Linked DNA regions of Drosophila melanogaster. The protein of the gene in region 1 interacts with the protein of each later gene in a pairwise test. Each region holds a gene or a part of one and is shown on either strand. Other genes may lie near its edges.

Evidence for each region.
Region 2: the proteins of Tm2 (region 1) and wge interact in a two-hybrid assay, tested with the Drosophila melanogaster proteins (one large-scale study listed by BioGRID).
Region 3: the proteins of Tm2 (region 1) and CG18764 interact in a two-hybrid assay, tested with the Drosophila melanogaster proteins (one large-scale study listed by BioGRID).

What each region holds. Positions count from the first base shown.
Region 1 is NT_033777.3:15,305,569-15,315,801, reverse strand, and holds Tm2 (tropomyosin 2), read right to left. Parts: upstream 5,558-10,233; 5' UTR 5,503-5,557; intron 5,126-5,502; exon of another isoform or gene 4,729-5,125; intron 3,768-4,728; exon of another isoform or gene 3,608-3,767; intron 3,427-3,607; exon of another isoform or gene 3,403-3,426; 5' UTR 3,350-3,402; coding exon 2,756-3,349; intron 2,694-2,755; coding exon 2,516-2,693; intron 2,212-2,515; coding exon 2,129-2,211; 3' UTR 1,782-2,128; intron 1,275-1,781; coding exon of another isoform or gene 1,192-1,274; 3' UTR 605-1,191; downstream 1-604. Other genes in the region: Tm1 (tropomyosin 1), read right to left, coding at 8,127-8,212. UniProt on the Drosophila melanogaster protein: Tropomyosin, in association with the troponin complex, plays a central role in the calcium dependent regulation of muscle contraction. May also regulate motor systems required to maintain nuclear integrity and apico-basal polarity during embryogenesis.
Region 2 is NT_033777.3:22,715,719-22,725,951, forward strand, and holds the start of wge (winged eye), read right to left. Parts: upstream 5,433-10,233; 5' UTR 4,806-5,432; coding exon 4,361-4,805; intron 4,300-4,360; coding exon 4,153-4,299; intron 1,624-4,152; coding exon 1,489-1,623; intron 1,333-1,488; coding exon 1,216-1,332; intron 950-1,215; coding exon of another isoform or gene 947-949; coding exon 1-946. Other genes in the region: Irp-1A (iron regulatory protein 1A), read right to left, coding at 5,712-6,541, 6,606-7,377, 7,441-7,541, 7,604-8,333, 8,400-8,569, 8,641-8,733, 8,794-8,806; RNF220 (ring finger protein 220), read right to left, coding at 9,355-10,233.
Region 3 is NT_033777.3:11,622,625-11,632,857, reverse strand, and holds CG18764 (uncharacterized protein), read right to left. Parts: upstream 5,970-10,233; 5' UTR 5,865-5,969; coding exon 5,748-5,864; intron 5,693-5,747; coding exon 4,806-5,692; intron 4,733-4,805; coding exon 4,622-4,732; intron 4,564-4,621; coding exon 4,449-4,563; 3' UTR 4,406-4,448; downstream 1-4,405. Other genes in the region: CG14712 (uncharacterized protein), read right to left, coding at 1-3,074, 3,138-3,540, 3,610-3,777, 3,844-3,917; CG6813 (uncharacterized protein), read left to right, coding at 6,272-6,382, 6,443-6,855, 6,915-7,160, 7,233-7,347; CG14711 (uncharacterized protein), read right to left, coding at 8,023-8,140, 8,198-8,308, 8,367-8,501, 8,564-9,072, 9,132-9,257, 9,313-9,447; Zaf1 (ZAD and architectural function 1), read left to right, coding at 9,821-9,943, 10,002-10,233.

The DNA.
Region 1 (10,233 bases):
TCTGCCAGCTTCCATATACCATAATGTAAATTATGTAAATAATGACTGGCGCTTTAAGTGGGTAATTTAACACACCACTTAACGATTTAATAACTATTTTATGGCCAACGTCGCGAGAAGAGCGAGGAGAAATGGAAATTCAATTCGAGTTCAGTTTACAAGAAAGTCCATTTGGCCAAGAGAGCAACAGACCCACATGTCGAACGCGGCCTTAACTCACTTATTGATGGTCAAAACGGCGAGCTGCCCACATCTACAATTCATATCTGGAAATCACCCTGAGGATGTGTATATATGCCATATATATACAGATAACTGAACTTTCATTATTCATTGCTTTGACAATTAGCGCGGATGCTAAAGATGTTGCAATGAAGGCCTCGATTTGCGGATCGTGATCCATCTCCGATGAAGTGGTGACGCACTTCGGACTTGGTTATTTCGGCCCAGCATCCATGGGGTTTCCCAAGAGTATGAGAAATCGGTGGAAAAAACTGAAGACTACTTTGCATATCCGCCAAAAATGTAGTGAACTTCAGCGCGATTCGCTGAAGGGCAAAGAAATTCGGTTTTGTGCATCATTGAAAGCAAACATCAAACATATAATTTTTTTTTAGCAAAGTTTTTATAAATTTTTTTATACTTTTTTTGTGGGTGTTTTTTTGTTTGTTTGTGGTGTAATTGTAAGATATAAACTGAAAGTAAAGCAGGCAGCGCGATCTTAAAATTTTAAATTTAGCCCCGTCTCTTTCCTGGGCACTCTCTCTAGCTCTCTCGCTCTTATTGCCTGACTGCAAGCGCTTCTTAATATTTTTAAACATTGATTTTAAAAATACAAAATTCGTGTTCTTGTTTTCGTTTTGTTTACTTTATACATTCTGCTACTTTTGACTTTAGATAATTTTATTTTTTATAAAACAAAAGAATTTCCATTTGCTTTCTATGCTCGTTGGCTTTGTTGCTGTTGTTGATCTGTTTGTTGTTGTTATTTATTTATTATGAAATATATAGATTTATAAAGAATTGCATACACAATGGTTGTTGTTCTTGGTATCTGCGGCCGCCGATCTTCGTGTTGGCCAAATCAATTTGAGATATTCGTTTACAATTAGTAGAGTTCTCCATCTCGTCGTCGTCTCCATCTTCCTCCGCTGCTGGTGTGGATTTGGTATAATGGGACTGTTGGCCAACTTAGTAGCCAGCCAATTCGGCGAATGTGGAGTCCATCTCGTCGGCCAGGGACTTGTACCTGTCCTTGTTGATGCCCAACTCGTCTGCGGAGTGCAAATGGTGGTTGGAAATGCGTTAGAAAATATTCAAAAATATGGTTTTTTAACATTGGAATTGAAACGAAAAACACTCAAACTTTACACCATGTGTACCAAGTTTATGGAGTTATTGATTAGGATTAGTGGCGCGCTGTTCTGGCAGGCGTTTCTATCTTTTGATCTTTTGGGTTAGTCAGCGGTTCTGTGCGTGGGTTTTCAGGGGAGGTGGGGGACAGGACTATCTATGGGGTGCTCTACGGGATGTGGACATGATCTATCCAACCAATCGTTGCAGCAATCCTTGAGAGAATCCCTCGACCAAGGCCTGGGCGAAATTGGCTCGAACGAAAGCCACTGATGATCGACGAGACGATAGAGAGAGAGAGAGAGAGAGAGACATAGAGACATAGACTGAGATAGAGTGCGAAGGCGAGACGGGTCAAGAGGTCATGCCACATCACAACGGGTAAGAATCTGGCATACAAACAACAATATTTACATTGATAAATTCACCTGTATTAACTACAGTTGCAACTTGGTTTGGCTTGATCTGAACTTATTTTTACAGTGTACTGGCGTAGGGAACTGGTCGTGTGGGTGTGGCCACATTCAAGCGGGACTAAACAGATTATTTACAGTGTATAGATAAGTGTGGCGTGTTGGGCTGGGTGGTAAATACACTGAAACTGTTGGGGGAATCGTTCCAAAAATATAATATAGAATATATATATATATATATAATAAACTGTGTGGGATTCGGGATGTACTGAGAGTGTTCCTTTTTTTGGGGGAGTTGGGCAAGGGGCGGTTGGGGGGGGGGGGAGGCAAGGGCATTGTGTGAGTTCTGTTTGTGATCTTTTTTAATATCCAGTAAGTTCGGCAAATGTCTGGTCCAAATCGTCGCAGATTGCTTTGTATTTTTCCTTCTCATTGAAGAGACGGTCTGCAAAAAGCATTTGTTTGTTGTTCATTTATACAAATATATATATAGAGAGATATTCAAAAAAAAGGGCGAGCGAGCGAGATGTGTGAATGTGGAACGTCAATTAATGAAAGCAGAGTACTAAGTACAATTATTAATATCCTTATGGCGATAAATACAATGCGAGCATTAGTTGAAGCCAGCGATCCGGCCGTTCGAGGCGGATCACTTCCGGTGGACAGCATCTCCGGTGTCCCGTGGAGAGATACCTCCGCGGAAAATGGCTGAGTGAATGTGCCAGGGGCGTAGGAAGTTGGATACATACCCTCTAGCCTGTCGACCTCCTTCTGCAGGCGCTTCACTTGCTTCTCGGCGTGCTCGGCGCGCTGCTCGGCCTCCTTCAACTTGATGGACAGGGTCTTCATCTCGCGCTTGAACTCCTCCACGCGCTGGTTGGCCTTCTCCTCGGACACCTCCAGGGACTTCAGGGAGTTGCCGACAACCTAGTTGGGAATACACCATGAATAGTGGTTTGAGAACAGAAGGATTTCTCTTGAGGACCCACCTTCAGCTCCTCCTCCAGCTCCATGATCTTGGACTCGCCGGAGCGGACACGATCCTCAGCCACCTCCAGCTCGTCTTCAACGAAGGCCAGCTTGCGGGAGACCTCGTCGGACTTGGTATCGGCATCCTCAGCCAGCATGCGGGCCTCCTTCAACTGGTTGGTCAGCTGGTCCATGCGCTCCTCATCCTGCTGGGAACGGTTCTCCAGCACCTTGCACATGCGGTTGTTCTCATCGGCCGACTGGGTGGCCTCCAGCAGCTTCTGTTGGGCGGTGGTCGAGCGCTCCTCGGACTTCTCCAGATCCTCCTCAATCTGTTGCACCTTGCGGTTCTGGGTGGCCACCTCGGACTCGGTGGCGGTCAGGAGTTTCTCCTTCTCCTCCAGCTCGGTGTTGGCCTTCTCCAGCTGCTCCTTGGCGGTAACCAGATCGATCTCCACCTGGACGAACTTCTTCTCCAGATCGCGCACCTCCTCGTTCAGTTTGTCGGCGCGGGAGTTGGCATCCTTGGCTTGGTTCTCGCAGGTGTCGGCCTTGTCAATGGCGTTATCCTTCTCAAGCTTCATCGCTTGCATCTTCTTCTTGATGGCGTCCATGGTGTTTGTGTTTTTGTTTTTGACTTACAAGGGAAGAAAACTGGAAAAAAGCACTGTGCCAAATAATACAAATGAGTAAGCTGAATAACTGAATCCTTAATGTGCAATTTTTAAGGAGCAATTTTCATAAGGCATAGAATATTATATATACTATAATATAATAATAATAATATTATATAATTAATAAAATGTATGACTTTTTTATTTAAATCTAATTGTAGCTTTGAACCGCTTAATAATATATTATAACATATATACGTTGGTCCTAAGATATTCCAATGTTTATTTCCTTTCATAAATTACAGATTTTTTGAACTTGGATTTTTCTTTTGACTATACATTTTTGTTTCTTTACTGTGACTTCTAGAATTTTTATGTTTCCGCTGCAAGACAAAATCGGTTTATTTAAACGATCCAGGCGCATTCTATAGGTTATCCATAGGTATAATTAAATTGTATATATCTATATGCTGTGCATATGTGTTCGTGCAATAAATTTGAGAATTAAATGTAAACACATTTTGTTTGGCGGCTACGCCGAGCATTCTCAAAAGATCTCACGTAATTTTCATTTTCCATTTTCAAAACGCCCACTCAAAATCCGAATCCGGATCCGTCGGTGAGCTATATGTTTATATGTTTATTTGCTGCACGATTCGGTGGGGTTAAAAATAAACTTTATATGCTTTTGCATGTGAGAAAAAAATATCCAGTCCACTCGCACACACACGCATAGGAGAAATGCTTTTTTGGACATTGTGTGCTAAATGTAATTCTAGAGTTTCCCCCTATTATTTCGAAATACCCCACATATATATGTACATAGCTCGCCACCGATTGCAATTTGAAAAGTATTCAATTCTTTGGGGTCATTTGGTGTGTGGGCGTATTCGTATTCGAATTCGTGTATCTATGTTGCTACCACCCAAAGTGGGGCAAAGTCATTTATGTTGTAGTTGCTGATCTTTTGGAGGTCTTGCGATACTCATGTGTGTTTTGTACCCAAAAAAACATAAGCAATGTTTAATATGTGATTTATGAGGTAAAAAGGATTTCTTTCTAAAGACTTTAAATAACTTATAATATGTTAAATAGCTACTTAGTTTTCACATCATTAAAATTTTTGGTGATTGCCAAAGGTACTTGGGCTTTCAATCAGTTCGAATATGTATCTTAAAGATGGCAAATTTTGCGGCCTTCGGACGCATTCACGAATGGCTAGAAATATTCGCTCTGAAATCTACAATTCTGTGTGGGTGGCTATGCCTTGAATATATATATTCCCAGATAGATACCATATGTATCCGCATCTGGGAATCGTCTACGTCTCTAATATTTTCCAAAATATCTCTCTCGAAAACAATCTCAAGGATAAATACCTATAGTTCTCGACTGCCTTCGTTTTCTGAGATCACAGAAAGCTAGACGGAAAAGCTTTTTCGTATAAATTTCAGGCAGAGTTAAAAATAAATGCGTATGTCTGTGTGTGTGTGACAGGCAGGTGTCTGTCTGCAGTTAATTTTAAAGAATTTTCTTCGAGGAAAACTTTATCGGTCGAGTGTGATTGTGTGTGTGAAAATTGTGCGTGCCATAAGTGTGTAAGGTGCATATGTATATGTGTCCCATTCGTGTAGAGCTTTCCGAATGAAGCTCATGTGTGTGTGTGCAAAAAAAAATTCTCTCACACACACACAGATATTTATTGGATGGTATTGGTGCCGTCAGATTTAGTTACAAAATTCCTTATAAGCGAATTTTGAAAATATCCGAAAAATGATCATAAGATCTCCATTTTCAAGTAGTTTAGATCGTTCATTTTAAGTTTTTTAGAGATATTCATTTTTTTAGTTATAGCAATTTTCACTTCCATTACATTTGGATCACTCATTTAACTTTTTGTAGAACTTTATATCCAGGCTAATTGACACATATACATATGCACATTTTATTTAAGTTTAACAAGGTTTTCCTTTTTTTTCCCGTTTGGGGAAAATTCAAAATTTATAATTTTGAATGCCATGCACTTATCACAATTTTGTTATCCACTCGAAATCCAGTTGAAAATACCAATTTGGTTAGCAGCAAAGGCGAGCGATTTAATTATATTTATTTTGAGTTAATTCTTGTCGGGTGAAAATCCTGGCGTGACCAACCTTAGCGTTTCAAACACACTATACGCTGTCGAAACCCCGAGAACACTGATGCTGACCAAGTTGCTTAGCCCAGAAAGCGACCCCAAGATCCAACGCACACGCACACTGCCACTCGGAAAATCGGAAAAACTCACACACACTGAGGGCACACACCAACGCGGTATTGAATAATTTCTCGCCTCAAAAATTTCCCATTAATAAATGTATATGTGGAATGGCGCTTTCGCAACTTTGCTCGGCGATCTCGAAAATTTCCCTCGAAATTTCCCCCAAAAGCTGCTTCATACGATGCTCTCTCTTTTGGGCTGCATTCTCGTGAAATTTATGCGCTTTTCTTTCTGCTTCTTAAATCTAAATTCAATTTATATTTTACTCACAGCACTCTCGCTGTCTGTGTGTGTGCGTGTATCCGTCAGATACACGGCCAAAAATAGCCACAAGCAGCAAGAGCAAAAGTCCAACAAGATGAAAATCTATTTTCGCTCGGTAAAAAAATATTGAGAAATATTTGGAATTTTGATCGGCCAGCGTTTTCCTGCCGTTCTTTTGCTTTCGAAAGTCTCGAATGCAAGGCAATTGATCCGATTTTCTTGTGTGTTAATTGTCCCCGTTCGATTTTTTGCTAAAACAAAACCACTTAACTTACTATATAACTGAAGAATAAAATCTATAATTTATTTATTTTAATAACCAATTAAGTAACGATATGGAAAAATTGTTATCAAAACTCTAAACTAAGAAATTCTATAGATATATGTATATTTTTATATAGGTATATTTAAAAGATAAATATATATGGTGGGTTTTATTTATATGTCCGACCTCGCTAAATCCATTTAGCAATTCATCTCAAAATCCAGTTCAATTTTCTTCTTCTTTCAATATTTCTGTGACGTAACATCTTCTTTAATACTATTATATATCAAGAAGATTCCACCAAATGTCTCATAGTCTCTGGATTACACTTATATGTACTCCCGATCTTTTTATTCTCGTTCAGCAATAAATTTTACTTAAAAGCCAAACCTACATAAGTCAATAATATTGTGCACTTTATTTATAGACTTTTATAACTTCAAATTTTAGTTGATTTATAGCTCTTCTTGATTTAGGAAAATGTTTGAAACTTCATATTTTCAAAACTGTTCAAAAACAACTAATTGGCGAGCAAACGTATTCAGTTTTCAAATTCGATTTTTCAAAACCCTTCTTCTTTAAGCTTATTTTAAACTTTTTTTATATATGTAGCTCCAAAGAATATTTAATGTTGAGTTAAAATATCACACATGTGACAAATATGGTTATTCCAACACAAATAAAAACATCCTATAAGTTTTGGGATATAAGCATGATTTGATTTTGATTTCAATATTAACTTTTAATAAGGATACACAATATTCCGGCAGATTGAAACCAACAGGACACTTTATGTCCTTTATATTCGATTCATGATCAGTGCATATTTTTATTATTTAACTAATGCAACCCACCGTTTAAATAAAAAATCCATGAAATTTTTTATATGCAAAAGAATGATTTCAGTTTATTGATCGTAAAAATATTGAGTTGAAAAAGAAAAATACATACATTGTTATATTTGTTTTGCACGCTTCATAGAATTACAAAAGCTATGACAAATGTGTAAATTTAATTTATATGTCTTCGTTTATATATTCTAATAATATATCTCCTATTCTTGTTGTTTAAACATATACAAAGGCCATAGAAATTTTGTAGATACACTTCGCGAACTGCCATAAAAACACACAAGCAACAGAAAGTTGAGAAAAATTGACTCTGGCTTAAGCGTAACTGAGTTTTTTATTTGAAGATGCTGATTAACGATATTGAGTGGTGGGCTTTCTGGGGTTTTGTATTCAAAATATTACACATACTTTTTCGAGCTGGAATTTTAGTTTCAAGGAAAATGGCAGCGTTTCTTTTCGTTACACAACTCGTTTTAACTTTAGGCTCCATATAAATTTCAATAGTAATTGCTAAAAATGTATTTTTTACTTTATTGTAAAACTCTTGCTCTTATGTAAGAAAGTTGTTTTTTTTTTGGGAATGCTTAGGCGAAGAAGTGTTATGCTAAAAATAATTTGTAATTCGGACGTCGAATGCGTTCGGACTCCATTTGTCTTCATCATAGTGATTGCTGCTCATCTCCCCATGAAGTGGATTTCATTCCCTTAGTAGTTGTTGAGATCGGCGTACTCCAGTTCCTGGGCGATGGTTTTGTACTTTTCCTTACCTTTGCTCACCTCGTCTGCAGCAGGTGGAATAAACAAAATAAATGTGACAAGTTTATAGGGATTTATGTTTTTAAGTTGATTGCTTTATTGCTTAGTTTGGATACAAATAATAAATAAAAAACGTTTGAGTCAAACAAATACACAATTACATCGATGCTTCCCTCTAATTGGTCCGCGATCAAAATCAATCTACAAACTATCCATCTACGAACACACAAATCAAAAGTGCAGGCTACTAGATACAAGTACAGTGGGCCTACGATTATGCGACTACAGTAACAAACAATCGAAAGGTGTGCCGCCCAAAAATATAGCTGTGCGGATCGATTTTGGTCTGGGTGCGAGGGTCCGTCAAGGTCGGGTTGTCGCTTATTCCTTGAGGATGAGCTCGACGAAGGCGGTGTCGAGATCGTCTCCGATGTCCTTGTAGCGCTCCTTCTCCAGGACGAGGTCGTCTGTTCAAGTTGTTGTTTGGGAAATCATAAAAGAACGCAAGAGTAAGGAACGAAAATTAATAAAAATAAATTCATTGAAAATCATTAAAATTACACTTAAAACCTGACACAAACTGAGACCTTTACACAAAAAACTTATAACTTAAAAAATAACCAATGATAGTTACCTCGGTTTCGGATAAAATAAATAAATAATAGCCAGCAGTTGAGTTCGCAAAGTTGTGCTAGCTGTGTGGTTAAAGGAAATCAAAAAGTTTGCAAGAACAGAAAATAAAAGCAGCATTTCGTTTTTATAATGCTTTGGCTAACTGAATGTTTAATTCAATTTCGTTTTGAGTTATTTCAAAAATAAAAAACGTGCTCTTAACTAGGTTTTTTAAAAGCAGGGCAGCATGTGGTAGCAGTGGTTTTCTCTTTCGTCGAAGTGCAGCAGCGATTTCTGGCGCGGATGTGGCGAGCTGGTCCTAAGCTGGGGGAGCCTCGCCTTCAGCAGCAGCTGGAGCCGCTTCGGCGGGCGCTGCTTCAGCTGGAGGAGCTTCGGCGGCGGTGGCTTCGGCTGCAGGTGCTTCAGCTGGAGCAGCCTCGGCAGCTGGAGCCGCTGCATCAGCTGGAGCTGCGGCAGCCTCGGCTGGAGGAGCGGCGCCATCAGCAGGAGGAGCAGCGCCTTCAGCAGCAGGAGCAGCACCCTCAGCTGGCGGAGCAGCACCGTCAGCTGGAGGAACAGCGCCTTCTGCGGGTGGAGCAGCACCCTCAGCCGGAGGAGCAGCACCCTCCGCCGCCGGAGCAGCCTCTCCTTCAGCGGCTGGCACTGGCTCTGGCTCGGATCCGGGTGGTGGTGGCTCGTAGTTCTTGACATAGGGCACCTCGGCACCCTCTGGGGGCAGATCGATCGAGTACTCGAATGGCGGTGGTGGTGGTGGCGGAGGAGTGGGCTCCTTGGGCGGAGTGGGTTCCTTGGCCGGTGCCTTTTCCTCTCCGGGTGCAGCGGGCGCACCATCTGGTCCGGCTTCGCCAGCCGCTGCAGCTGCTTCTGCGGCTTCCGCTTCTGCAGCTGCGGCAGCTTCGGCCGCAGCTCGTGCCTCCTCCATGGCGGCCAGTTCTTCTGGCGTGGGCGTCGGGAGCTTGGGAGTCGGCGGCTTAGGGTTGCGCGGATTCCAGAACGGCTCCAGACCCTTAATGAGGTCCACGAAGGCCTCGTCCAGGCTGTCGCCAATCATGCAATAGCGCTCTTTTTCAACGATTAGGTCGTCTGGTTATGGCGATTCAGGATCGGTATGCGAAGATGTTTGTGAGAAAAGCAATACAAGCGATGGTGACGGGGGATAGAGTATAGAGAAAAATAAAATAAAACGTGAAACGGAATAGAAGCGTAAATTGAAAATTAAACTGAATAATCTTGGGTGGGAAACAGAGGGATTCGATGGCGGGTAGGAGTTGCAAGCGAAGGGGCTCACAAGGCGCGAAACACCAAAATGACATTCTCGTGGGAAAAGAACACTTCAAATTATATACACCGTAGCTTATTTACATTTTCGGATTATCAATTAATATTTCGGGAGTTTGGGGCTTGAATAGTTAGTGAGAAGGAAAACACTTTGGCCAGTTCTTGAACGCCGAGATCCTTCTAGAGATCCTTTCATCTATTTTCACTGATCGCAATAAAACATGTTCGGGGTTTCTAAGCAGGTGGTGCTTCAGCAGCAGGAGCCGCCTCGGCAGGTGGTGCTTCGCCCTCGGCTGGTGCCGGAGCAGCCTCTCCCTCAGCCGGCGGTGGTGGAGGTGCGGCGGCGGCATCCCCTTCGGCAGCCGGTGCTGGTGGAGCAGCTTCACCCTCAGCAGGTGCAGGTGCTGGTGCTCCTTCTGCCGGTGGAGCGCCCTCTGCAGCGGGTGCTCCCTCGGCTGGTGCGGCTCCTTCCGCTGCTGGTGCTCCCTCGGCTGGTGGGGCTCCTTCAGCTGGTGCTGCTTCGGCGGGCGGAGCAAAGTCTCCTGGCTCCGCGTTCCTAACGTACGGCACCTCAGCA
Region 2 (10,233 bases), 7.4 Mb from region 1:
GAGCCCGGAAAGCTCTCGTCTTCACTGCAAACGGGCGTATCCGTCTGTATATTGACATCCTGCATTTGCGGCAAGAGCTGAGTCGATCCCGACACAGGAATGTCCGCCAGGCGAGGAGGTGTCTGCGGTGTCAACGGTGCATGCAGCTTGTAGTTCAGCGCCGCTTCATCACTGACCGCTGGCAGAGGCGTTGCAGCAGGCAGCTCCCCACCGTTGCCATGCATCGATAGGTTGAGCAATGCTGGCGTGGGCGTAGCCATGGCACCCGACTGGAAGAGATGGTGGGGCGTTGCATGGCCTAGGGAAGACGGCTCCATGGTGGCCGAGGTGGGCGGCGTGGGCAGACGCATTAGGTTCAAGGCCTGCTCCTTATCCCGCGCCGCCTCGAGCGGCACAAGGGGCGGCAATGCCAGCGGCATCGGGTACTCCTCTTTCAAACCTGTCGGTGGCGGCAAGGAGAGAAGTGAAGGAATCCCAGTCTGACCAGTGGCCAGGCTGAGGAAACGGGAGCTACTCGCGCTGAGACTACTGCTGGAACTTAAGCTGCTAGCCGCATTGCCGCTTTGCGTGACCCCCGAACCAGCGGCCAGACTCAGATTAATGGTGGAATTGGTGGTTGTGGTGCTGGTCTGCTGATTGCTGTGCTGGCACATCGTCGAGCTGCCCGTCGCAGTGGCCGCAGCGGCCAGATACAGCTGCAGGGTGGACGCGTACGAAGGCGTTGTGCTCAGCGCCTGGTGGCCGCCCATCGAGGGAAAGATGAAGTTGGGCAAACTGGACAAGTTGGGCGTCGGCTGCAGCGAAGCAGCTGCGGCGGCTGCCGCAGCAGAGTGACCACCAGGTGCCGGCGCCTGGGGGATGTAGGCCGAGGGCCAGACGAAGGCCGCCGCAGCCGCTGCCTGCTGGAACGGATCTGTGGGCGTTAAGAGGGGAAAATTTGATATGCCTGCTGTGCATGGTCGTGGTAGCGATTCAGTTAAGTCGGAGTTTCAAGTTCGGGTGTTTTCGGGAGTTTGAAGTTTTGGAGTTTGGAGTTGTCGGGGGAGTGGCGGTGGGAGAGAAGCGCAGTTTAAAAGCATGAATTAGTTTTATTTTGGCGTATCGAAGTTTCGAAATCAAATTAACCGAGAACACCTAGGTAGGTAGGTGTCCCGGTGTGCTGGCATGCGGAGTGCGAATGGCGGAGATCGTCGCCGATCATCTCGGCTCACTTACCGAGCGCTGTTGGGCCGGCCGGCAGCAGCACCACCTGTCCGCGACTGGCCTCCCGCGAGTACTGCAGGCCCACCGTGGCGGGCGACATGGAAATCACTGATTCAATGGGTAATGCATCTACAAAACGCAACGGAAAAGAGAGAGAACCAAAATAGAGAGGTGGAGACAGAGTGTGACGGTGAGCACTGATTGTTCATTTTTTTTTCACATTTTGCATTTATCAATTTCTGCCGGGGATCTACTTGTAGCATGCTCTAAACGTGGACAACTCACTTGGATACTGCCAGAAAGTGGAGGGTGCCCGGTTCACACCCGCTGCACTCAGAGCCAGTTCCTCGGCGGTGGCTGTGCCGGTGGTCATCAGGTCGCCGTTGCCAGTAAAGTACAAATTGCCGCAACTGGTGGCACCTGAAAGTAAAAAGCAAAAAGGATTCGTTGAATTTTGGGCGCTTTTTTTTCCTTAACCATTGATTCTCAAATTGAATTCTGGGAAGAGATATGCCAACCTATTCGTTTGGCGTTCGTTTGTTTAATAAAGTTTCGGGCCTGCCGTGTAACTTGTAAGTTGTAAGCGAAGATGTGTATGTATACGTGAAATATTGCAATGTCCTTGAACTATGCATTTGGTGACCGCGTGCGCCCAAACCACCCAACCGCCCACCACTACGCCAACCAGGCAACTATCACACATCCCAATCGTTTCGAATAACCCACCCCCTTCCGACACTGTGGCTGGATAATTTCTACAAAAATTCGATTAAAACGTACGTGATGCCCTGTAATTGGATTACATTATGGGTTCTGAATTGGGAAACCCACCACCGCACTCGAATCGAAATGAATGACAAGTATTCGACAGTGTCCCATCTCCGCAAACGCAATTAGAGCTACATCTTTTGACAAGTGATTTGTTTCGGACCGAGAAACTACCCAGGCAAACGTTTATAAATAGCATGTGACTTGTGGCAAGGAAAGGAAAAAAAAAAAAAATAATAACCAGCGGCACGTTAGGAAGACTCTTCCATATGGTCGTCTACTGAATCCAATTCGGCGTGTCATGTTGCTAGGTCCTGTGTCCTGGAGGATGATTCGCCCGGTTTGTTACCCAGTTCCCCTTTAGTTTCCCATCCCCGGAGAACCACTCATGCATCCGAGCATCCAGCTCGAGCATCCCTTATAGGTGATGCCTTACTTGTTCCTGGTTCCCCCACACACACACACACACACACACACACAGATTCCAGACTACTTCTAGCAACAGCCACCGCTGCTACCTTGTCTGAAGTCTGAAAAAACAACCCACCCGAGCACCATGAGTCCATGAGTAATCTGTCTTTGGATTCCCGCTCTGATGTTCCTCTGAATGGCGCCCACGCAACTGGAACTTTAGCTTCAGCTCCATTGGAGCATGCTAACTAAGCCGAAGCCCTCGATACTCTGCTCATTGCCGAACCATAAGTAATGCGCCTACTTTATAAGGGTTTTTTTCTGCACTCAAAAGCACTAGAACCCGCTAAAAATATGTATTTTCTGAAGTCATTCTAAAAATCTAAAAGGAAAACGTATTTGATGCATGAAAATAAACACCCTCAATCGAGAATGAGCTGTTCTGTCAGAGTTTCTTACTAAAAGAGAACTTCTGGGAAATACCCAGAATAGATATAAAAACAAAATTTCAATCTGTTTTTGCATTGGATTTTTATAGCAGCGTTGAACTTCTAGTTTAATAGATATATAAAAATAAAAACCCCCGCAAAAAGTAGCTTGTGACTTCAATTTTATCAGAGTTGATAATAATAAATGAGTAAATGGAGATTCCAGGTAAAAATAACAAAAAATAAGTGCAACTTTGTAAAGTCAAAGCAATACAAATTATATATTCATTTAGTTAAGTGTAATGATTCATTTCCCTGCCATCATATTGCTCTAACCATTTATAGACGTTATCATTTAAAGAATAACATGAAATTCCATGTAGTGATTAAAACAAAGTACACAGTTTCCTGTACTCTTGCTCTTTGATTAAGGCTATGGCACATCTGGTACTATTTTGTAAATAGATTGATATGAAAAAGTAACCCATCCAAGATCATAAAGTTCATGTTCGTGTCATGGGCATGGTTGATTATTTCACCATTAGCAGACTTTAAAAATAATCCGGAAAATGTAATTCGACTGGCTACGGCGACAAAACACACCCCCAAAAAAATATAAACATATTTATGTGCCCATCTAAAGAGCAATTTCAAGTCGACCAGAGCCAAGGCGACGCAAAGCCTCCCTTCTCAAATCGCAATGTGTTTCACTTTCGTTTCACTTCCGCTTTAGAAGTTCGTATGATTTACCACCGGGTTTCCTTCTGCCCGCAAGGGAGGATGGATATGGGGATGAGCCGTTTTGAGTCGAATCCAGTCGATTCGGTGGCTGTCACAACAACGACAGCCGCACAACAGGCGGCCATCATATGATTCCTGCCCTCTAAACTCCAGCGGGTTGTTTAAGGCGGAGACGACACCCTCGGCCATTGCTCACTGATGGAATTCCGCACAGCGCTGAACGTTTGTTGGCAATCTTATTAGTGGCATAATTGAACGACGTCCACGTCCTGGCATCATAAGCATCATATAACGTTGTCCCTTGGGAAGCGCCGTTCATTAGGGGCGCTCAAATCTGGTGACTCAATTGAATTAGATGCCCAGAAGTTACACGGATGGAAAAAATGTATGGCACAAGACAGTGATTGTCTTAAATTTACATATCATTTAACACAAATGGAAAACAGCATCTAGAAATATCTAATGATTCTTTAAGTAAATCATTTGGTATCTCAAAGATAGCAGATACCTTAAAACAGTTTACATCCCCTTGAATATCACTAAGAACTTATTATTTCCATGAGATGAAGCTGCATTTCTCTCTGTGTAGCTTGGCACTCACCGAGGTCAGCGACGCGTATGCCGAAGCAGTTCAAGTCCTTGTTGAGTGGTGGCTGCAGCGGCAGCGTAGCGGGGGTGTTGATAGCCGGCACCAGAGCTTCTTGCGGGCGTTTCCTGGCCACGGCGATGCCAATGGGAACGGAGTTGCCTGATAGAATCGTAATTAACCGATGAGGAGTGCTCTTGACCAGTGGCTGGGTGTCACCTACCTGTGGACTTTTCCAATTCCGATACCTTTGGCGAGGGAGCCTCTATTTTGACGAGAGTGGTCAGTGTGGAGGAGGACATGGTCTTGGAGGAGGCGGTCATCGAGGCGGAAGACAGGCCCTGATGCTGCACCTGGTGCTGGTGGTGTTGGTGATGTTGCTGCTGTTGCTGGTGGCAATTGTTCGAGCTTATTTCGGACACCTGGCAGGGTTCCCTCTTGATCTGCACAAAAGTGTACGACGAGTTGGTCTGCTGATGGTGATGGTGCTGCAGGGGAGTGGCCGTCGCCGCGGAGAAGCCTCCGAATTGATCCAGCTGCAGATGGGCGGTATGGGCACCAGGATGCGATACTGCCGCAGTGGTGGGCACCAGAAAAGTAGCCGTTGCTGTGGTGGCGCTCAGAACGTCGGCGGCACTGCTGCTGGCGCCAGGATTAAACGTGGCCATCGGGTAGCGGTGGCTGTGCACATATATGTATGGCTACCGCTCCCTGGGATCTCTAGCCTATACCTATTTCACTATATATCTTGCGGATTCGACCAAAAACTAAACGTCCATTATCCGCACACACAAACACACGTGGACACACACGGCACACGGACACACACTAGCACTGGCCCACACACACACGCACACAGTCTACATTTTTACAGGTTTTCGCTGCCTCTTTCGGATGCAACATTGGCTACTGGGCCTGCGGCAATTCCCCATAAACAAATGACATAATCCAAAGCGACGCGACGCCACTGGGCACTATCCACAGGTCGAGGGAACCGAAGCACCCACCAGTCCAAGTGCGGTTGCCCAAAATAAAACCCTGTGCGATCCGAGATCTTTTCTTTTTTTTTGTGTTTTTTTTTTTTGGTGGGGAGGCGGAGGCGCGACTTTCCTGCTGCGTTGTTGCGTTTTTGCGCGGTTCTTCCAAGTGAATATCGAGCACTGGCTGCAGAGCTATTGGCCAACACACGATCTGTTGCTTATTTATGTTTTTCTTTTGCGAATTGGAATCAAAATCCTCTGGAGAAAAGTCCACGGGACGGACAAAAAAAGAAGCAGCGAACTATGTTAAGTTAACAGCGATATAACAGGGACTATTCGATTTTATTGCTGCCTTGTCGATGATTCACCAGCAGGCGTTAGGCATTTTTAGCAGGACTGGTTTGGCCATCGGCATTTCTGCTATCGATAACATCCAGAGCGCGCAATTTAAAATATTATAAAATATTTGAAATATTTTTTTTTTAATAATTATCATCTCACAGATGAATGTCAAATTTTATTTCCCAGCACATAATAACAATTAAAAGTCGCCTAGAAATGCATATGGAATATAAAAGTCAACGAACGCACTAACTAATCCAGCATTTTGCGTATCATATAGTTCAAAATGCCGCCATTCTTGTAGTACGTTATGTCCACCTCGGTGTCGAAACGCAACGTGGTCTCAAAGACATTGCCATCAGCATCGACCTGAATCCTCTGGCCCGGCTTCAGTTCGCCCTCGGGCAGGACAATGTTGTACACCTCCCTGCCACTCAGTTTCAGGGTATCGGCGCTCTGGCCAGGCAAGAACTGCAGCGGAATGATGCCCATGCCCACCAGATTTGAGCGGTGAATGCGCTCGTACGATTCAGCAATCACCGCCTTGATGCCCAGCAGAAATGGCCCCTTGGCGGCCCAATCACGTGAGCTGCCACTGCCGTAGTCCTTGCCTACGACCAGAACCAAAGGTGTTCCTTCGCTCGCATACCGTTCCGCCGCATCGAAGATGTCCATCTCCTCGCCACTGGGCACGTGCAGTGTGCTGGGTCCCGTCTTGGATGCCAGTTTATTGACCAGACGGATGTTGGCAAAGGTTCCGCGTGCCATCACCGCATCATTGCCACGTCTGGATCCATACGAATTAAAGTCGCGCGGCGTTAGACCCCTTTCCGACAAATAGCGCGCTGCCGGTGACTTTCGTGCAATGGATCCGGCTGGCGAGATATGATCGGTGGTCACTGAATCACCGAGAAGCAGCAGACAGCGAGCCTTCTCGATACCTTTAAGTTTGGGCAGCGCACGAGTCATACCCTCGAAGAACGGTGGTAGTTTGATGTATGTTGATATTTCACTCCATGGATACAACTTGCTATCCGACACCTCCAACGTTTGCCAGTCCCTGGATCCCAGTTGAATTTTGCCTGTGATAGCGGACACAGTTAGCCTAGAGCTGCGGAAAAATCTTAGTCAGCTAGCTATACTCACTGTACACCTCCTGGAACATGGCGGGAATGACGTGCTTATGCTCTACCTCCTGAATCTCACTGCGCGTTGGCCAGATATCGCGCAGGAACACCTCCTTGCCGTTGGAATCCACGCCCAGCGGTTCGATCTCGAAATCAATATCCACACGGCCGGCAATCGCGTAGGCAATCACCAGCAGCGGACTGGCCAGATAATTGGCCCTAGTATTGGGATGGATGCGACCCTCGAAATTGCGATTGCCCGACAGGACGCCACAGCAAACCAGTCCGTTCTTCTCGATGGTGTTCACTACGTTCTCATCGAGCGGGCCCGAGTTGCCAATGCAGGTCATACAGCCATAGCCCACAATGTCGAAGCCCAGCTGCTCCAGATAGGGAATCACACCGGATTCCCTCAGATAGTAGGTAACCACGCCAGATCCTGGTGACAATGAGGTCTTGATATACGGCAAAATACTCAAGCCCTTCTGCACGGCATTCTTGGCCAGCAGACCAGCGCCCAACATCACCGAGGGATTCGAAGTGTTCGTGCACGAGGTGATGGCGGCAATCACAACAGATCCATGACCTATCTTATAGCTCTTCCCATCGTCCCATTGGAATTCACCACTTGCAGCCAATGCACTCGGTGGTATGGCGAATCCCTTGAAGCCGACAGGACTTATGAGGCACGACTTGAAGTCTTCGCACATGCTGGAAACTGAAACGCGATCGTGCGGTCGCTTGGGCCCCGAAACCGAGGTCACCACGGTGGATAAGTCCAAAGTTACAGACTGCAGGGTAAAAAAGTGATTCGTTAGTATGTCTTTGCATTGGAAAAACAGAATCTCACTTACCTCCGTGTATTGGGGATCCTGATCCACAAGGGAATAGTCACGAAGTTGTCGAGTGGCCTTCAAATACTTCCGGATAATATCGATTTTCTTCTCGGAGCGATCTAATGATCCACATCCATGGATATCAAGTAATAAATTTAGATAATTTTTAAGATTGACTCACTGGTTTGGCGCATGTAACTCAGCGTGTTTTCATCGATTGGGAAGTAACCCACAGTGGCTCCATATTCCGGACACATGTTGCTGATGGTGGCGCGATCCGCGATGCTGAGCTCTGCCACTCCGGGGCCGTAAAACTCCACGAACTTGCCGACGACACCAAGCTGACGCAAATGCTTGGTAATGGTCAGCACCAGATCGGTGGATGTGGCCAGAGGGCCCAGTTTGCCCTCCAGCCTGTAGCCAATCACCTCTGGCAACAGCATGGAAATGGACTGGCCCAACATTACGGCCTCCGCCTCGATACCGCCAACACCCCAGCCGAGAACACCTAATCCATTGATCATTGTAGTGTGGGAGTCAGTGCCCACAACGCTATCCGGATAAAGGATCTTAGATCCGTCCGCTGAACTGTCGCTTTCGAAAACCACTCGGGCCAGATACTCCAGGTTAACCTGGTGCACAATGCCAGAGCCGGGTGGCACAATTAGCATATTGTCAAAAGCGCGAGCTCCCCATTTGAGGAAGGTGAATCGTTCCTTGTTGCGCTGGAACTCTAGTGACTCGTTCTTGGTCAATGCGTCCGAGGAGCGAACGAAATCCACCTGAACGGAATGGTCGATGACCAGGTCGGCAGGGCAGATGGGATTGATTTTCTCAGGATTGCCGCCCAGCTCGCGGACAGCATCCCGCATGGCAGCAAAATCCACGACGGCGGGAACGCCAGTAAAGTCCTGAAAGCAGGGAATATCTTAAGAAGTCACATACAAACATAATCTATGTGATGCAATAATCCACACCTGCAATATAACACGAGCTGGCTTGAAGGAGACTTCCACATCGCTGGTTTCCTGCTTCAGCGATGGAGTCCATCCCAGGATGCTCTGCACATCCTTCTCCAGCACATGAAAGTTGTCACAGTTGCGCACCGCTGATTCCAGCAGAACGCGAATGGAAAAGGGCAGTGACTCTGTGGGGGGTTAATAATATTCATAAAGATAACAACAATAATGATAACGAACAACAATAACGATTACCAACCATATTTGCTGTCGATGGAGGGCAGATCAAAATACTTGTAGACGTTGCCGTCCTGGGTGAATGACTCCTGGAACTGGGCAAAGGGATTGGCGCCTGCAAGGAAGACAGGATTAGCGTACAGATCAAATACTCCTTTTTCCAATTAAATCCCACCGGAGCCGGACATTGTGGAAAAATTAAACAGAAAACCAAGCAATGTGATATAGAGATGAGCGCGTGAGGAACCGCTACCAGGCAAAACTTGCTCATCACTAACGCAAACATTATATTATCGATAACTGAACATGAAAACAAACCGGTACACAGTAAAAAATATTTATTTATTACTTAAAATGAAACATTTGTAAATTATAGTGGAATAATTTATCATTTTTGTGATTCGAAAATAATATTGGATATAATATTGGATTGATTGCTTTTTTATTTTAGTTCAAAATAAGGTATTTAAAATAACTTGTTTGCATGTCTTTAAACGCTTTTCCCTTCCTACATGCTAATTTCGTTAAATAAACTTAAATATTAATTATGTTTTCTGCGGTTTATTGCAATAGTTACATGGTAGGCTTATTGTAATGTCACGTAGTATAATTGGTATTTGTAATCTATATAAATAATATGTATAGGGGATTATCATCTAAAGCTGCGTCGGGATGCAAAGCCTGTTTTATGGCGCAAGCAATTTGGCAGCGGGGATAACAAGTCTGTGATGGACGTCTACAGGTAGATTCGTCGCAGGTCCTTCGGCGTGGTAATCGAGTTGCACTGCGGGCACAGCTTTCGCGCGCCGAGCGTCTGCAACCAACACTGCTCGCAGTGGACGTGCCAGCAGGACACGGAGATGGCGGGATTCTTGTAGTCGTCGATGCAGATCAGGCACTTGTACTTGCCCTGCGCCTGCTTTTCGTAGAGCCGCAGCTTGGCCTTCAGCGATTCGATGATCTGCTGCTGGTTTTGGGAGGTGGATCGCGTGGACCGCGACGTAGACGGCTCCTCGCTGGCTGGTGGAGCCTCCACGTTGCTTGTGCTGGCAGGCTCTTGCTCGGTGGCTTCGCTGGAATGGTTTGGCTTGGGCCCATCGCTGGAGGAGATAAGTCGGCGCACGTAGCTGGTAACATCCGCCTCGGAAACATTTCCCTCTGTGTCCTCGTTGACCAGTGGGATCACATCGCCCTCGCCATACTGCGTAGGACCATAGATGTGAGTGTCATCCTCGTCCACGTTGAGATCTTCGTCCTCGTCGTCCTGCGCCTGCTGACTGCCATTGTATTTGATTCTCTGGCCCAGGCCCAGGGCGGAATAGCCTCCTTGCACGAGAGTGGAGACGCGAATGCGCTTCTGTCCCGCCCACTCGTACTCTTCATATTCCTCGCTGTCCTCCGAGTCCTCACTCGAATGCCGCTCACCATTGGCCTGACCATTGCGGCGGCTCTGGCGCAGGCAATGATTAACATGCTCTTGGATGTTGGACTGCGGAAAGTTGTGGTTGCACACGGGACAGGTGGGTTGGCTCGATTCGGCAGCAGCTACGGACGGAGTTGCTGCAGCTGGAGGAGGAGCAGCTGCTACCGTAGGATTTACAGTTGCTGGTGGGGC
Region 3 (10,233 bases), 3.7 Mb from region 1:
TGGGCCGGACTGACGCCGCCAAAGTTGAAGCCCCCGGTTGGATTGCTTGCTGGCGGTGCAGGGGCTGGGCTCCCAAAGACATTCGGGGCTGGAGTGCCGCCAGCGCCACCAAAGCTGAATGGCTTTGCGGTATTTAAACCCTGATTGCTGGGCGGCGAGGCGATTCCGCCAGCAGATGCGCCTCCAAACGAGAAGGGAGCATTGCCGGCTGTGGTGCCGGCGGTGCTCTTAGCCGCACCAAATGAGAAGACTCCTGACGGCTTTGTTTGGTTTTGGGTAGCAGACACTGCGTTGGCAAAAAGATTGCCGCCCAAGGGCGGCTGGGGGGCAGCAGCCGGAGTGCTAGCCCCAAATGCAAAGGGCTTGCTCTGATTAGTTGAAGTTGCTGTTGGTGCAGCCGCTGCTGGAGCACCGAATCCGCCAAAGGTAGGCGCTGGAGTTGGATTGTTGCTTGAAAAGCTAAAGTTAGGCTTCACCACTCCGGTGTTGGGGCTCCCAAACATATTGGTGCTTGCTGAGTCCTCCTTCTTGGTGGTCGTGGCGAATGAGAAGCCACCAGCTGGTGATCCTGCTGCCGCCGCCTGGGTGGCGGTGTTTCCTCCAAAGTTGAAGCTTGGCTTGCTGGCGCTGGCGGGGCTGCCAAACAAATTTGTTCCTGCTGTTGGCGCCGTAGTATTTTTGGTCGCAACGGCGGAAAACGAGAATCCTCCAGATGCTGGAGATGCTGACGGTGTAGTAGGAGCCCCACCACCAAGTGTAAAAGGTTTGGTGGCTGCCACTGCCGGTGTCGAAGACTGTTGCGTTGATCCACTTCCGAACATTGGTGTTGCAGGCTTCTGAGTCGTGCTAAACCCAAAGGTGTTGTTCGTCGGTGTTGCTGTGGCAGATGTAACAGATGTTGTTCCGCTGCCAAAGGCTGGTGGTGCACTCTTGTCCGTGCCACCAAAGCTAAATACTCCACTTGGGTTGGCTACCGCACTGTTGTTACCTGCACCAAATGCAAATGCAATTGGTTTGTTGTCCTTATTTTCACTTTTATCTGCGGCGCCCGCTGCTGCTCCTCCGAATGCAAAGGGCGTAGTTGTGGTTGCATTTAGTCCAAAAAGGTTTTTTTGGCTAGCTGGAGCTGGTTCCGCTGCCTTTGAAGTGGCCGTCCCTCCAAATGAAAAGAGATTTGTGGCAGTTGATCCTCCGCCAGCAGCGGTTGTTGTAGCTGCGAAGCCAAATGGCTTGGGAAGCTCGGCGGCGGTTGTGGCTGCTACATTAGTTGATGACTTCATTGCGTTTCCAAGTCCGTTGTCCAAATTGCCAAAAATGCTCGGCTTAGTTGTCTCGGATTTGTTAGCCCCGGGCGATGCAAAACCTTCGCCTAGGGGTTTCGATAGGCTTCCGAATACCGGTGTCGGTGCAGCTGCAGCGGGCTGAGTGGTGCTACCTCCAAAACTGAATACAGCAGGCTTGGCGGCAGCTGCATCGCTGCCATTTGTTGTCGGAGTTCCTGAACTTAAATTGTTCGATTTACCAAAGGAGAACATCGGTTTCACCCCCGTGTCTGCTGCTCCAAATGATGGCATCGGCTGGCCGAAATTTAGCGATACAGTTGTAGTCGGAGCAACTGTAGTCGTCGTTTTGGGTGGTGTCACTCCGAAAGTAGTTGTTGATGTAACCTGTGTCCCAGGATTAGTTGTGCTAACCGAAGTTGTTGCTGGAGCTTCAGTTTTGAATCCAGAAAGGCCGCCTACTGTGGGACCATTGGCAGGCGTTTGTCCGAACGAGAATATGGGCTTTGATGTGGTAGTATTGGTGATATTAGCAATAGTGCTACTAGTGGTATTGGTCGCACTTCCAAACGAGAATGATGGTGCTGCTGTGGATTTTGGTGTGCCAAAACTGATTAGTGGTTGAGATGATGTTGCTGGAGTAACGGGTTTGGTTGATAGCTCAAACTTGGGTGGGATATCTGCTTGTGCTGCCGGGACCTTGTCGATGGGTTTTGGTGGTGTTTGTTCCGTTTTAGCGGGCGGCGCAGGCTGACCAAGCACAAGTTTGGGCACTGAGCCAGTGCTATTCGTATTTGGCACATCTGCTGGCTTTATAACCTGGTTACTTAGTATTATCGGCTTGCTGGGCGCAGAAGTTGATATGGTTGCGGTGGACGTAACGGTCGTAGTGGATGTGGTTACAGGAGCTATGATGATGGGTTTGACGGGAGTAGGAAGCGTCACAGGCGCTGGCGCTGACTTCGGCGCTGGGGCATCTAGTTCGTCCGGCTCACCCAGGTACAGTTCGCCCTTCAATCCACTTAGCATAATGGCTAGTTTGGTCTTGTGTGTGCGTTCTACGCTAGGGTTCTTGGCAGCCAGCATGGAATTCTGCTGTTTAGGCTTCACGAACTGAATGCCTGCATATTCGCCGGCATCTACTTCCGGGCTACTCAAATCGGGTCGCGGCTGTTCCGCTATCGTTTGAGATTGTCGCGCATTGAAGAGTGTAAGCTTAGGTTTTTCCGTCACCTGCGGAACTGCCTTTTGAATGGCAGGAGCCGAAATGGCTCGTGAAGCAGGAACTGCCGCCACAGTCACGACGGGCATGCTCATTGCCTTGCTAACAGCTTCTGCATCAACTTTACGTTGAATTTTGGCAACATTTTCGGGCGAGTTCTCAGGCGAGCTTCCTCCACTAGCTAGTGTGTCGTTTTTGCTGTGCTGAAACCTTTCTCGCATGTCCAACAGCTTCCTCTTGTTGCTGTGACGGCAACTGGAACTCAGCGAGGAAGTGATGTCGTTGCTGTAGCTACAATTGGGACGTTTGGCTACCTGCTCCGGAGATTGTGTTGGGGAGATGGTTCCATTCGAGTTCATATGTTGCAATGCAGGAGAAGCAGCCGACAAAGATGTCGAATGATGCCTGAGCGGAACCGATACCGTCAGCTCTCGTTGCCTTTTAAAGGACTGATTCTGTTGTTGCTGCAAATTACGTAGTTTCTGTTGCTGACGGTGATGAGCCACAAAGTCCACAAAGTCCACGTTTTGCTGGCAACTCCTTTTCGTGTAGTCTTGAGCCTGTTGCGTATCCTGAAAGCAAGCCAAGTGTAAGCCGGTGATCTTCTCATAGGATGATTGATGGCTTATACTTACTTCAGTGTTGATGCGCTTTCGGGAGATCTCCTTAAGCTCCTCCAACACGCTTCTAGTTGGCTCGCTCTCATGCTGTGGATGAGGTGGGTGCAATATGGGTCGATTCTCTCTCGAAAGCTGCTCCTGTTCGGTGGTCTTTGGCACTAACCCTACCAAGGAGTTGGATCGCAACAGGCTTGACAGCGTGTTTCCGGAATAAAAGCTGCGCTCCGGTGGTGCAATCTGCGTGATCGAAAGCGTCGGCGCCCTTGACTTGTAGGGCAACGGGGAAGCGGGCGCTCTGCGCGGCTGCGTCAAGGGATTGTAAAGATTGCTGGCGGACATGCTGCGTTGCAGACCACTGCGTTCGCTTAAGGCCACGATCCGGGATGACAGTCCGCTGCTATGCACATCGGCAAAGGTTCTGAAAGGTATGAAAATTTGATATTGCACTTTCGTCACATCGTGAAATGGCACACAAGCTTTGACTTACCTGGGATCAACCTGACTGAGGTTCAGTTTCTGTCGCGTTATGGTACTGGACGATGTGGCAGAGCGATTCATCAAGGACCGCTCCGGAGTGCGTGTGCCATTGAGCGAGGTATTCGACCCCTTGGGACTCAGTCCCCTCAGGAAATTACTGGCCGCCGGACGATTGTTTCTGAACAAAGGAGAGCAAATTTGATTAGTAACCGCTTAGAATCCAGTTGGACAGGTGGTGTCTTACAACAGCGACGCGTCAATCCGCGTGGAATCCGCCATGGGTGACATGCTGCTCATGTTAAAGCGACGACGCTCCATGCTGCCGAAGGTCAACAACCGGTATTCTCACAGTGCAGTCGGGCGGAGGGGAACACTTTTGGCGGGTGAATCAAGCTTCGTCGTAAACGATTGTGTGCAATCTCGTTTCTTTCTTTTTTTAGTTTTATTAATTCTAAAGAGAAATGCAATGTGAATTTCATAGGAAATGGTTACTGTGTGACCGTTGGTGAAGCGCCAAAATATACCAAAATCTTTAAGCCTTTGGCTAAATAAACGATTAAAGATAAAAAATAATGTTTAATACTTTCTCCGTCAAATGTATTTGGAAGTTTCGGGCAGACGTGTAAACTTGAATAAAAATTCTTATTTTCACTCCAAATTTATATTGAAATATGTCAGGATTGCCACCTTGGATACTTATTGGCAGGGCTGCACTGCAGCATGTGTCGATTATTAAATCGGGTTAATAAAATTTTATCGCAATTTAAATGTTTGCACTCCAATTAAATGAAAACATTGCTTTATTTCTTATATCTAATACTTGTTTTTTAATTTAAATACTATATCAGCTTATAATTGTAGTACCTCCGCACCAATGGTTTTCGCTTTTGCAGTGTGAAATTTAGATCGCAGATGGGCCTTTAAGTGAGTGTTGCGCTGGAAGGATTGTTTGCAGATGGTGCAGCTGCAAAGGGAATTGTATTAAATTTTGGAATACCAACGCCTAGTCAAAAAATACTCACGCAAAGGCTCGCACTCCTGTATGGATTAGTTCGTGCCGCTTGCGTCCCGAAGCTGACTTAAAACATTTATCGCAATGATGACAGCTGTAGGGTTTGGCATTGGTGTGAGTCCTAGAAAGGATTTTTTTTGGTTTGAGCTCAGAAATGTCCGAATCCGTAGTGGATACAAGGATACGTCCCTTACCTTTCGTGGATGAGGCGAGTGTTGCTATTGTGAAAGGACTTGGTGCAAAAGCGGCAGTCGTATGGCTTCTCGCCCTGGTGAATGATTCGTTGGTGCAGCGTCATGAGATGGTCGGTGTAGAACCGCTTGCCACACTGCTGGCAGGCGAAGTTCTTATTGCCCGTGTGCCGCAGCATGTGAAGCTTGAAATTGCTTTGGTCGGTGAATTGCCGGCCGCACTGTTCGCAAACACACTCGCGTTTACGCTGCAGTCGCTTACGCTCTATGATCTGCTCCTCGGTCATATTTTTCCACGTAACGTACTGTTTTTTCCGCTTGGGTTTTGTGGTCGCTGGCTTCGTTGACCGACCTGCTGCACTCTTCGATTCGGGCAGCGGTGTGTTTGGGTTCGATGATACTTCATATTCGTTTATAGTTTCATTGAAATAGGAACCGTTTTGGGGCTCCATGTAATCGTTGTTATCCGAGTTGCTGTCGTCGTTGCAAATGCTCTCAAGTTCTTTCTGTACACTTGAGATCAGAGATTCGACATCTTGAGAATCCTCTTCGGCTACTTCAGCCATATCTTGAAGCGCATCAACATCTTCAACAGAATCAATATAATTATCCTCATCCAGATCATGATGAGCATCACTATCATGATCCAAAACTTCTTCTGGGGATTCCACAATGTATTCATCGACTTCCCCGAATGGATCGTTCAGACAATCCGGCGGTGATGCCATCTCCTCAACATCTTCAGCCGGTTCCTTCGCTTCGGGAGATCTACGACGATGGACGAGCTGCTTCTGCGTTAGGATGCACCGCTCCCGGAACAAAATCGCTTGGTTCAAGTCAAGCGTGCAGCAGGCGCATATGCTGCTGGGCAGCTCTGGATCGTTGTGGAGCTGCAATCACAGAAAATGCTGCACAAATCAAATGGAAACCATTTTTCTTACATACTGTTGTGCCAGTGACAAGATTTATGTCTTGCAGCATCTTCTCGTTCTCAATATGAAAGAGATTCTTGGGCATTTTATTGTAGATGATGCTGCCGCAGGTCCGGCACTGGAGCGCCATAATGTTAGTTGAAAATCAACCGAAGTTTAGCCCAACTTCAGTTTAATTCGAATATAAACAACCAATTGTTTTGTAAACGCATCCACTACACATATGTATGTATATATATTGTGATGCAACAGCTGGTTTTATTATCGACAAAATCGATAAGTGCGGCAATGCCATTGTGTGACTTAAATGATTTAAAAAGTGCAGTAAACCATTATGGTACTCTTATTAAATGAGATTATAAAACATATTTGTATTTATGTTACTTCATAAGGTACTAATCCCTGTGCAAAAACTCTAAACAGCGTTTATGCGTGCAAAAGTTAGAGTGACCATGCAAATAGCTTAACGACACATTTCGCATAAGCTGCTCGAAACGTAAACAGTAAACAATTATTCAAAAACAAATCAAAGTCGAGATGCGAATTCTGAATTGCCGCATTTGCTCTAGATCAGATGCCCCAATAGACCTTTTTGGTCCAGGAAACGGTCATCTAGTTCGTCAAATTCACTCCATTACTGGGGTGGAGGTAATATGTCTAAAAATATTCCTTAATCATGGCACTTAATTTGCTATTTATACTTTCCAGCTAAGCTGCAAGAAAGAAATATCCGGCCAAATGTGCACGACTTGCCTGGACAATCTGCAGGCAGCCATTAAGTTCCGCCAGCGCTGCATCATTGCCGAGAAACAGAATCTGGAAAGGATTGAGTGCGACAGCAAGGATTGCTCCACAGATCCAATAATATACGAAGACATCGATGATAACCAAATTGAGAGTGAGTTGGACGAGTCCATTCTATGTCCTGAAGTCAAAGATCTTCCAATGCCAAGTGCTGAAAAGGTCTCAGCACCGACTAGTTTGAACCATCAAAAGTCAATTGGAGGAGGTACTGGTCCATATGTATGCCCTGATTGCGGAAGGATCATTAACAATAAGTCAAACTTTCAAGAGCACACGCTCCGGCACACAGGCATCAAGAATTTCCACTGTGTTTTTTTGTAAATTATCCTTAACCTCCTTTGGGCTAGTGCACCTAAGATACGATTTTTCTCCTCAGGAATTGTGAAAGGAGCTTTGCAACTCGAAAGGAACTGACTAGCCATACGCGTATCCACACGGGCGAGCAGCCATACGTGTGCGTCTACTGTCCACGTCGGTTCTCCTCTTCAGGCGCTCGCCAGGAGCACCATCGCCGCCATCGGAACGAACGCCGCTACGAGTGCGACACGTGCAAAAAGAGTTTTGTAAGCTCCGGATGTCTCAGGAAGCACAAGATGATCCATGTGGATGCGCGGAATCACTAGTGGGCATTTCGATTTCTGCCAACTCTGCACATTATTTGTATTACACGTTTCAACACACTTTGATTTTACAGCTGCTACGTATGTCAGAAGCACTTCAAACGAATCTCCCATTTGATGACCCACCTGTCCAGCAATATTCATAAACGCAAAGAAGAGAAACTCACGGAGCTAGCCATTGAACAATGAAGCTGCCTATCTAGCCATTACACTAATTAGCTATCGGTAAGAATTCTAAAATTCCGCGTCCTTTTCTTTAACAAGGTAGACGTACATTTAAGTACAGGTATTCGCATAAATCCATTTTATGCGAATATCTAGCATATTTGGTTTTACTTTTTGTTTCCCTAAGGAATAGAAGAAGAGCCGCATCCCTCCCGACTTCCAAACGTTTTTAGATTTTGATGTAAAACGTTACAAGTTATAAACCTAAAAAAACAAAACATATTTACTTGTCCAAAAAAAGAAGATTTAATTAATCCTGTGCCATTCGATTATTATTCCATGTTGTAGCTTCCACAAACGGTAACAAAGTCTTCGACAGAGCACAAAGAAAAGAAACAATAAAAAACGCACACTCATTTAATGGCCAAAATGATGTTAAAACTACCAAATAAACGCACAAAATCAAAGATTGTAATCGTGTTCCAATTTTTTTCTCGAATATATGGACGTAATAAAAAACATTACAAAAAATATTTGTGTTTTTGAACAAGTTCTTTAACCAAATAGTAATAAATCAAATCCGATTATTTTACACATCCGGTCTGACCATTTGTACTCTTTTTTATTTTACAATTTTTATATATAATTAAATGTACATTAATGAATTATCTAACAGAAATTGTATTGCATTGTTTTCGACTAATAGCGCCCCGTCCGTTCGTTTTTGTGGTGTATTACAGTCTGTTGGTGGGTCATGGTGCCCAAATGCTGATCCAACTGGTGCTTGCGGGAAAAGGTCTTATTGCAGACTCGACAGCTGAAAAATTAAAGGGAATTTAGGGTTATACATGATTAAAGCAGTCAATGGACCTACAGAAAAGGCTTCTCGCCCGTGTGGGTGAGCATATGGTTTTTTAGCACGTTAGAGTAGGAGAATGCCTTGCCGCATGTGGAGCAAGTGAAAGGTCGCTCGTTTGTGTGTGTTCTGCAAAAGGAACAAGTATAGTTTATATGAAGATTACTATGAGGAATTGCATCTTCACCTTTCATGACGAATATTGGAGCTGCGATCCGCAAACGAGCGGTTGCAATATTTACACAAGAATGGTTTCTCGCCCGTGTGAACGCGGATATGGCGATTTAGCTCGGATGGACCCGCGAAGGATTTGCTGCATATTCTGTAAGCGGAATAAGATTTACATAATATAAAATGGTTCAGATGATAATTTCAGATACTCACTCGCATTTAAATGGTTTCTCGGCCATATGACGACGCATATGAATGTTGAGAGCGGCTCGCTTGGAGTAGATATTGCCGCAGATTTCGCACATAATGTTCGTGGAGGATACTTCGGGAGATGATTTGAAGCTAGCTTGAACAGGCGGACGCTCCTCGCTAAAACTGCGTGGGTGTCCGGAGCTAGCACCGCGAGGTCGGCCACGTCCACGTTTAGTCATCCGCGTTTTACGCACCTTAGCTTTGCGGCAGCGCTCGATGGGCTGGTAGTCGCTATCGGTGCTATTCGGCACCAGCAAGTCATCCTCGTCCAGGTCGTCCACTACAGTGCTAGTCTCGTAGGCCTGCGACGTTTCCCCGACACCATCCTCCAGGGGCTCCTCCATGATGTTCTCCATTCCGATGTCATCCTCGACACCGTCGATGAAGTCGTTGGCCGATTCGTAGATGTACTCAATGTTGTCAGCCACTACGTGCGGCACCTCGTCCGTTGGCTCCGACTTCATCTCGGCCTGACATGGTACCGGGTCAAGTGGGATGTTTATATGTGGCCCATCAACTCTATACGTACCTTGACTACATTGGTGGCAAATGTGCGCTCGCTCTCCTGGCAAAGCTCCCGGAACTTGTGGGCACTGGTCAGTCGCTCCACGCAGCTGTAGCACAACATACTGGGGATGTTCTGCAGCGGCACCAGCTGAAAGCACAGAGTGGGTTAAGTCGCAGGATTTTACATTTGCATCCACATGTACCTTTATGCTGCCCACTTCTTCAATCTTGCGCACCAGCTCCCGGCACTGGGCGTCGTTGTCATCGAACAGGGGCGCCATCGCCTCCGAGTTGATGTCCTCTGTCAAGCAGATTCGGCACAACATGTACTCGGGCATTATCTTGCACGTCCTGGACGTACGTATGCTTGCAATTCTGAAATAAACAAGCGTCTTGGAACTTTTCCCAGGGTTGTCATGTACGCAAAACGATAAATGGCTATCGAACTTGCTATCGGCATATCGATTGAATAATTGATAATAATTAAATCTTAATTTTTTTTTTTAAACTAACAGGTGGGCCCTATTAAATATTTAAGCTTGAGTCACGCAATAAAAATACAGTTTTAGAACTAAATGCAAAAAAATTTGGAATGATAGTTGAAAACTGTTACTAATTCCGCGTACCTGACAACCCTTTTACTTTTAATTCACTGCTCTGGCATTTGAATCGGCATTTGACGCGAAAGAGGGACTTCCTGCGGAAATAACGATGGAAATCAGCATTAAATGGAGCATGTGCCGCACTTGCCGCAAAAAAGGAACGCAATCCACGCTGCAGTCGCTCTTCGAGTCCAATGCCCACAAGCTGTTGATCTCGTATGCCGGCACATCTGTGAGTACTCGATTTCTGTTTGGCTTCCAGTTTACCAGTTACAAATCCTCTCTCCTAGGTGAAACCGGATGATGGACTGCCGGATCAAATTTGCACAGTCTGCTTGATGCAACTGGAGGAGGTGGACAGATTTCTTAGCGCGTGCAAACAATCCGACGCGCACCTGAGAAGCCTCGTTCGTCAAACTCTGTCCTCCGCATCGGCATTTGAGACGCTGGAGGATAAGGACCAGCTTGAACAGAAAAAACGCGCCAGGAAGCAGAACATTTCGGGGAGACTCATCGAAGAGA